2 linked regions of the Daphnia pulex genome follow. The protein of the gene in region 1 binds, or shares a complex with, the protein of each later gene. Links are inferred from orthologs where the notes say so. Each region holds a gene or a part of one and is shown in the gene's direction. Other genes may lie near its edges. The genes, in order: nuclear cap-binding protein subunit 1-like and nuclear cap-binding protein subunit 2-like.

Region 1 (4,339 bases):
TCCATTCATCGTTAATTTTATTATTCACTCTTCATTGTTCATCATTTCTTTTTGTATTCAAGTTGTAGTCATTGCAGCGGAATCTTTATCCACCAGTTCAGTGAATAACAGTAGTGTCCCATCAACAACAAATCCTGCTGTGGAGAAAAGTGTGAATGCGGGCCGTAAACGGGCCGAGAGCACACGTACAAGAGACTCAAGTACGAACAATTCTTTACCAGGTATGGCTCATGTGGTTGTTAGCATACTTCCATTCACCATTAATTTTATTATTCACTCTTCGTTTTAATCATTTCTTTTTGTATTGTAGTCAATGCAGCGGAATCTGTAGGCCTATCCACTAGTTCAACGGATGACAGTTATTGTGTGTCAAGCAATCCTGCAGGCTTAATCAATGCCGCTCATCAAGCTGATGTTCGTTCCATTCCATCCACAGTTTGCACTACGAGCCAAGTTGTGAATTGTAGCCAAGGTATACGGACGATTCGGCAAATTTGACGTTTGCCGAATTGGTTTTTGCCGAATTGGTTGACTTTGTTATTTTCCCGAATCGTACATACCAATTCGGTAAAAAGCCAATTCGGCAAAATTGTTTAAAATGCCGTTGTAAGGCCAGTGGCGCTAGCTGTGTGGGTTTCGGGTAATCAGCGCCACCACCAACACGCGAATTATACTGTCTTTCCCGAGAGATCTTTGAGCCCTTCCCGACATAAACACAAAACAAAGTGGAACCTGCTTTAACTGCCCATTCTTTTTTAGAAAACCATGGAGGGAAAATAGTTGAGTGAAAGGGAAGTTTATTATTTTAAAGGTTCCGTCGGCATACCATCGAACGGCAGTTTTCAAAAGCGCTAGTTGTTCGTCAGTCATGAAAATTAAATGACGTTTAGAACCAACTACAACTTCTCCTTTAAAAAACGAAGTGGGCATTAAGTCCATTTTGATTTGAAAAAAAAGATCAATTGGGTTTTTAGCAGTGCGCTTTGCTTTTACCCGATTTACAGCCCTAGCTAACGTTGTGGGGTTAATTGGGTTCCACAGTATTTGCCGCCAATTTACATTTGCACAGTTGCCGAATCGACTTTTGCCGAATCGGTAATTTCATAGGTGACAATTCGGCAACTTTGCCGAAACGGTTTTCGGCGATTTGCCGAAATGGTTTTTGCCGAATCGTCCGACATTCGTAGCCAATTTCACCTAAATTGAATTCAACAAATCCCATTTTTGCGTGAATTTAATTCAATTCAGCTGAATATAAACTGAATTGAATTTTTGCGCCAAATTGCGTTGCCTAAAATAAACAATTTTTACAGCTACGTTGTCAAGTTATGTAAACTATTTTCACGATCATCGAAGTTTATGATTTCATCAATAGATGGCGTCAAATTAACAGCTTCTTTAATAGCTCCATATGACAAACAGTCAAACAGGGTGGTAGTAGTTTGTCTGTCTTGTAAGCGTCGTAGACCAATTTAAAATAAAATCAAAGAATGAGTCGTAGGAAACGTGATGATGGATATGGTAAGGATTACAACTTATTGAAGAATTTGATGACATTATAAAAAGTTATTTGTTTAAAATTACAGAACATGGGTATCGTAAAAGGCGCAGAGTTGTCTCGGAGCAGGCAGAAATTGAAGACCGGTTAGAATCTCTTATTATCAGGGTTGGAGACAAAACGTCATCATCTTTAGAAAGCAATTTAGAAGGGCTTGCTTCAGTATTAGAAGCTGATTTGAACACGTACAAGAGTAAAATATTACGTATTTTGTCGGAATGCCCAATCCAAATGCCAGAGAAATGTACTATCTACAGCACATTAGTTGGTCTTCTGAATGCTAAAAACTATAATTTTGGAGGAGAGGTTTGTTTTAAAATTGTACTTTCAGTTTTTAAGATACAAGTATATCTTTTTTTAGTTTGTGGAACAAATAGTGAGAAACCTAAAAGAAGCTCTCCGTGAGGGGCAATGGGAATCTGCTCGTTTAATTGTACGTTTCATATCTGACATGGTCAACTGTCACATAGTCTCTGCCTCTTCCTTGCTACAGTTATATGACAGTTTTATTGACGCTGCCATGGAACAAGGAGTTCCTCAGGTTCGACGAGACTGGTAATTAAATTTTTGTTTTATTCTAAAGCAAGAGTAATGTAGATCACAACACTGTATCAATTTACAGGTACATGTATGCGTTGTTGACGGCGCTTCCTTGGGTTGGTCGAGAGCTTTTTGAAAAGAAAGAAAATGATCTTGAACGTATAATGGCAGCAATGGAAGGTTATCTTCGCAGAAGAAATACTGCTCATGTCGCTGCTCTTCGAGTTTGGAATTGTGAAACTCCGCACCCACAGGTCAGAAATGGCATGGCATTTTAATAATAATTGAAAAATTTCGAAAAACGTTCTTTCTAGGAAGAATACCTGGAATGTCTTTGGGCTCAAGTACGGAAATTGCGGACAGACGAGTGGCAGGAAAGACACATTTACCGTCCATATTTAGCTTTTGATTCTATCCTCTCTGAAGCTTTGCAACACAATCTCCCGGTCATTCTACCTCCGCCTCACACAGCTAGTACGCAATATCCGCTACCATGGGTTGTTTTCAGGATGTTTGATTACACTGACTGTCCAGAAGTAAGTTAAACGCTTTCAAAAGTGTGTATCGTGCGTATTTAACTCGGGACTCATTTTCAGGCTGGTCCACTTTTACCAGGAACTCATTCAGTAGAGCGTTACTTGATTGAGGAACATTTACACCAGATCATCACTCGTCATCATAACGAACGCAAGGAACTGTGAGTTTCAACTTGACAGAAACGTTTGTGCAGATAATAGTAAATTAATTTTGCTTTTCAGAGCCACCCAATTGTTGGCGTTCCCACAGAGAAATAAGATCCCTTTGGAATACATGATAGTTGAAGTTCTCTTCTCAGAACTTTTCCAAATGCCTTCCCCTCGTTACTTGGAGATTGCTTATGGTTGTACTTTGATAGAACTTTGCAAGCTTCAACCAAGTACAATGCCTCAGGTGAAAATATGATCTTACAGTAGAAACTTGAACATTTTCATTTGACTTTTTATTTCACAACCAGGTGTTAGCACAGGCTACGGAGTTGCTTTACGAAAGAATTGATACCATGAATGCCACCTGCTTTGATAGATTCGTTTCTTGGTTTTCTTACCATCTCAGTAACTTTCAATTCCGCTGGAGTTGGGATGACTGGCAGAATTGTCTTTCACTCGAAAAAGACCACCCCAAGGTAAATGTTTAAAAAAATGAAATTTTTCGAAATCTATCTAAAGGAACACTTAAATTTCAGGCAAAATTTGTTTCTGAAGTGTTCGGGAAATGTTTGAGACTCTCCTATCACAAGCGCGTGACTGAAATGGTGCCTGAATGTTACTCACCGCTGTTGCCCCCGAAACCAGAACCGTACTTTAAATACCAAATTGAAGGAGGAAATGGTTTTCCTGGGGCTGCTCAAGTCCAGACTTTGACTGAGCTCCTAAGAAAAAAGCCAACGCCTGAAGAAGTACTAGAGTTGGTCCAGCAACTACCGAATCCTCTCAAAGGTAAATATGGTGGATACAATATGTATAACTTCAAGCCATTTTGATGCAATTGTAATTAGATGACGACGGGGATATGGAGCCTTCACACAATCCTCTAGCAATTGAAGTATTTGTTCAGACTCTGCTACATTTGGGATCGAAGAGTTTTACGCATACTTTTGCAGGTCTCGCTAAATATCATTCAGTCTTCAAGGTATTTTCAACAGATTGAAATGTTATCGATAGTATAAAACGATTCAATTTTACGTTTCTGTCATAGAATATTTGTGAGAATGAAGAGGCACAGATCTGTATGCTTCGTCAAGTTTATGAGCTCTGGCAACACCACCCACAATTTTTAGGAGTGGTAGTTGATAAGATGTTAAAGACACAAATTGTTGAGTGTTGTGCCGTAGCAAATTGGATCTTTTCACGAGACATGGCACCCGAGTTCACTCGTTCGTACATTTGGGAGGTCTTGCACTTGACTATTCGCAAAATGAACAAACACGTCGTCCGTCTAGAGAAAGAGGTGGCGGATGCACGCGCTAAACTCAGAGCTGCACCATCTGATTCGGAATCATCTGATGAAGATCCATCTAGAGGTGCGAACAACTTTGGATTAATGTTAATCATTCGCTTAATTTTTTTTCCGTTTTAACTAAAGAGGGTGGCGAAAAGCGTCGACGCACCTCTAGCAATAAAGAAGCTACAAAGGACGATGGGGAACAACCTACGGAAGAGATGGTCGAGCGTATGGAAGAACGCTTGGAGGCTGCCCAATCAG
Region 2 (3,347 bases), on another chromosome or scaffold:
GACAACAAAGTACGGCAATACTCGGCTTCCTCCTATCAAATGAAAATTCAAAGTTTAAAATTCGATTTCATTTTCAAGTATTGACTAATAATTATTACCAGACATTCGTCGCGATCTCCGATTAATTCGATGCGGTTGTCGAGAAATTCACGAAAGAGAAACTCTGATCTACGGCACTCCTCGATCGATGGGGGGTGGCTCTGGGTAAGTGCCAGCAAGGCGGCCAGTAGATGTTCGTGAGTCGAGTCGTGATCTCGTTGAAGCAGAGCCACAAACTGCTCCACAAATCCCATATTACATAAAGTATCTAGTAAACAGGGTATTGGTTAGAGTACAAATGGAGAAACTTATGAATGTGAATAAAACCTTTGAAGGATGGATTCTCATTGCATAAACAAGTCAACAAGAATGAAGCCTTGATTTTCAGTTTCCCGAGTGATGATTGCAGTGCTCTCAGTAAAGACGAGAAACCATCACAATGCACAAATGCATCCTGGGCTTCTGCACATTCTCTTGTCAAACCTATAATCAATCAATTGTTAACTGAATTCCCTTAGTGTGAGTTGTAAATCTGCTCATTACATGAAATGGCGTACAGGGCTTTGATTCTCGCCTCTTCACAGTCATCGTTTTCCAGCATTTTAAGCAAAATTGGCAATAGGTCTTCGTTGAGCACATGCTGTTGGCAGTATGGGTTGTTCTGGGTGAGGGTGCCAATCAACTGACAGCACCTCCAACGAACTCCATCGTGGGGAGAATTCAAACAGGGGATGAGGATGAAAAATCCTCCTATCTTGTGAAAGTCTGGAGAAACAAGCGAAACAAGTGTCAATGTTTTATTCAATCAATAAAAAAAGATATCTCATACCATTAGCCGTGTCCATGGAATCGGCAAAGTCAGTAATCATTTCCAATGCTTCCTCCATCTCCTGGGGATCTTCTTCAGGACTTTCGACTCGATCTGGATTGAGGATATTTAACGATTTTGATATTTCGGCTACAACGTCGACTGACAATCCTCTTAGAGCTTCTTCTAACCAGCGTCTCCTTTCTTCACTCATCGATGTGGTTGTGGTACGATCTTCAGCTGCGGTGCCTTCGATGGCAAATCTTAAAAGTCCTTGCATATCTCTTGGTTGTCGTGGGGGTTCCATTGTTTTGCTAAGGATCTCAACAACAACTTGTTATATATTTATGAAGAATAAGACGCAGTACGCAAGTTAAACCGTGAACGCATGGGGCAAGCAGACGTCAATGAAACTGTTTACTAGCAAAATCAAGAAGAGTCTGGAATAAAAAGAGCCATCTAGGCATGACTCGCATAACTTAAAAAATTTTGACATTTACAAAACAAACCTGTTAAGTTAATTAAGATTTGGATAAAATTCATTGAGATTTTAAAAAATTATTGAAAAAATCTGCGAAAGTGTGTCATATTTTTATTTGGTTTTTAATTGTAGTTTAACGCCGGAATGGGTTTCTAGCAAGTGACGTAACCTAGCGGCCGCCATAAGCATCTTTTCGAAAGTCACTCGCGTCAGGTTTGTTGTGTCAACGCACACTTTTTTTTAGAAAAAAACCACACCAATTTTAGTAATTTAAAACGCATAAAGTTTAGCCGGTTGATTGGCTGAATACAAGGACACTTAATTCGGAAGACACTGGGGTGAACGGTGTGATTGGTTCTCCCGAAATAATTCGTAGAAATGGCGGTTCCAAGCACATACCGAGACCAACATTTCAAAGTAAGCCTCATGAGTTGATAGCAGAATTGAAAATGTAACTTAATATACAGTTTTGAGGCAATTAATGTTTAAATGGAAATGCATACCTTAATAATTAAAAATATTTTGATATTTCAAGCCAAAATAACTGATTTCCATCTTTCAGGGTTCCCGGGTAGAGCAGGAGCGTCTGTTGAGTCAATCTTGCACCCTGTATGTTGGAAACTTGTCCTTTTACACAACTGAAGAACAGGTTAAATACTTCCAAGTCAACAATTGGTTCCATTTGATTTCATCTTTTCAAATATTTTAGATCCATGAATTGTTTGGGAAATGTGGCGATGTCAAGAGAATCATCATGGGATTGGACAAGTTTACTAGGACCCCTTGTGGATTTTGTTTTGTAGAGTAAGTCATTGCAACCAAATCCAATAACAAAATTGTGTTTAATTATTTCTAATTATCTTTCAAGGTTTTACCTGAGGAATGATTCAGAAAATGCCATCAGGTTTGTGAATGGGACAAGACTGGATGACAGAATTGTGAGAACTGACTGGGATGCTGGCTTCATTGAAGGAAGGCAATATGGCAGAGGCAAAACTGGAGGACAGGTCAGCATTTCGTCAGCTCAAACTTATTGTTCTCAACTAATGGATTTCTGTTTTGCAGGTGAGAGATGAATACCGAACTGACTTTGATGGTGGCAGAGGAGGATGGGGCAAAATGATTCAGCAGAAGGTGGCCACATCTGCTGCTGCTAACAATTGATAACATTTCTAAATACTGTATTCATTCATCTCTGTGTGTTTTTTTTTTTAACAAATGTCAACAAGTGTTATCCTCAATTAAAACAGACCATGCTGAATTGATTTCCTAAACAAAATCTTTTTTACCTGTGAAAGAAGACGTTTCTCGTCATGTTTCCATCTGCCAGTCCGGTTGGCCTGGATTTTATCGATCGAAAAGTGGGGACACTAGAATCTCTTGCCATGTGATCTGTCACTCCCAAAGCTTTTTCCTTTTCAAAGCGAAGCGGGTAGTTTCCCAGAAGAGCTTTTGCGGCCGCGTGATGCACGCCATCATCTACATGCAAAGAAATATTTGAATATTCAATTCCCAGTGGTCGTCTGCAACTTATAACGAATGTCACAATTGAATTTGTGTCAAATGTGAAGCTAATTCAATGATCATTGATCAATTAGATGATTTCCAAAATGGAAATGGTATCGATTTCTGATTGCTCGGTAGTTGTTTAGTTATTCCAAATTAAAACTAACTTATTTATCGTTCGAAGAAAGAATGTGCTTGACGTGACATTCAACGTGCATCTGAACTACCAGGAAAATTGTACTGAGTGAGTGTGTGTGTATCTGGTGTTGGCTGTTTGAATATTTCTGGGCGACGGCAATCGAGTTCTCTCCCACTGCTGCAGCCGCTGGAAGCATTCATGTCCGCGTGCCGATCCGCGTGCTCCGCCGTGAGGCTATAGCGGGACTGGTGCATGTTGGCTGGCTGCTGTACCCACCGCCCAGCACTACAGATGTTGCTTATTCAAATATTGACGTAAAACTCACGTGGAGCGACATGAACATTGCCCAGCACCTGTTGTATAATCTTCATCTT

Evidence for each region.
Region 2: nuclear cap-binding protein subunit 1-like (region 1) and nuclear cap-binding protein subunit 2-like share a complex: the UniProt entries of both Caenorhabditis elegans proteins name them as parts of the nuclear cap-binding complex. The link is inferred for Daphnia pulex from reciprocal best matches to the Caenorhabditis elegans genes ncbp-1 and ncbp-2.

What each region holds. Positions count from the first base shown.
Region 1 is NC_060022.1:6,378,142-6,382,480, reverse strand, and holds the start of nuclear cap-binding protein subunit 1-like, read left to right. Parts: upstream 1-1,366; 5' UTR 1,367-1,490; coding exon 1,491-1,521; intron 1,522-1,586; coding exon 1,587-1,864; intron 1,865-1,919; coding exon 1,920-2,113; intron 2,114-2,180; coding exon 2,181-2,352; intron 2,353-2,412; coding exon 2,413-2,634; intron 2,635-2,694; coding exon 2,695-2,795; intron 2,796-2,856; coding exon 2,857-3,028; intron 3,029-3,092; coding exon 3,093-3,260; intron 3,261-3,320; coding exon 3,321-3,573; intron 3,574-3,632; coding exon 3,633-3,766; intron 3,767-3,832; coding exon 3,833-4,157; intron 4,158-4,219; coding exon 4,220-4,339. Other genes in the region: uncharacterized protein LOC124196162, read left to right, coding at 63-221, 311-498. UniProt on the Caenorhabditis elegans protein: Component of the cap-binding complex (CBC), which binds cotranscriptionally to the 5'-cap of pre-mRNAs and is involved in various processes such as pre-mRNA splicing and RNA-mediated gene silencing (RNAi).
Region 2 is NC_060026.1:16,276,396-16,279,742, forward strand, and holds nuclear cap-binding protein subunit 2-like, read left to right. Parts: upstream 1-1,510; 5' UTR 1,511-1,706; coding exon 1,707-1,745; intron 1,746-1,890; coding exon 1,891-1,977; intron 1,978-2,037; coding exon 2,038-2,132; intron 2,133-2,196; coding exon 2,197-2,335; intron 2,336-2,393; coding exon 2,394-2,492; 3' UTR 2,493-2,589; downstream 2,590-3,347. Other genes in the region: hsp70-binding protein 1-like, read right to left, coding at 1-32, 99-307, 367-522, 583-804, 869-1,154. UniProt on the Caenorhabditis elegans protein: Component of the cap-binding complex (CBC), which binds co-transcriptionally to the 5' cap of pre-mRNAs and is involved in various processes such as pre-mRNA splicing and RNA-mediated gene silencing (RNAi).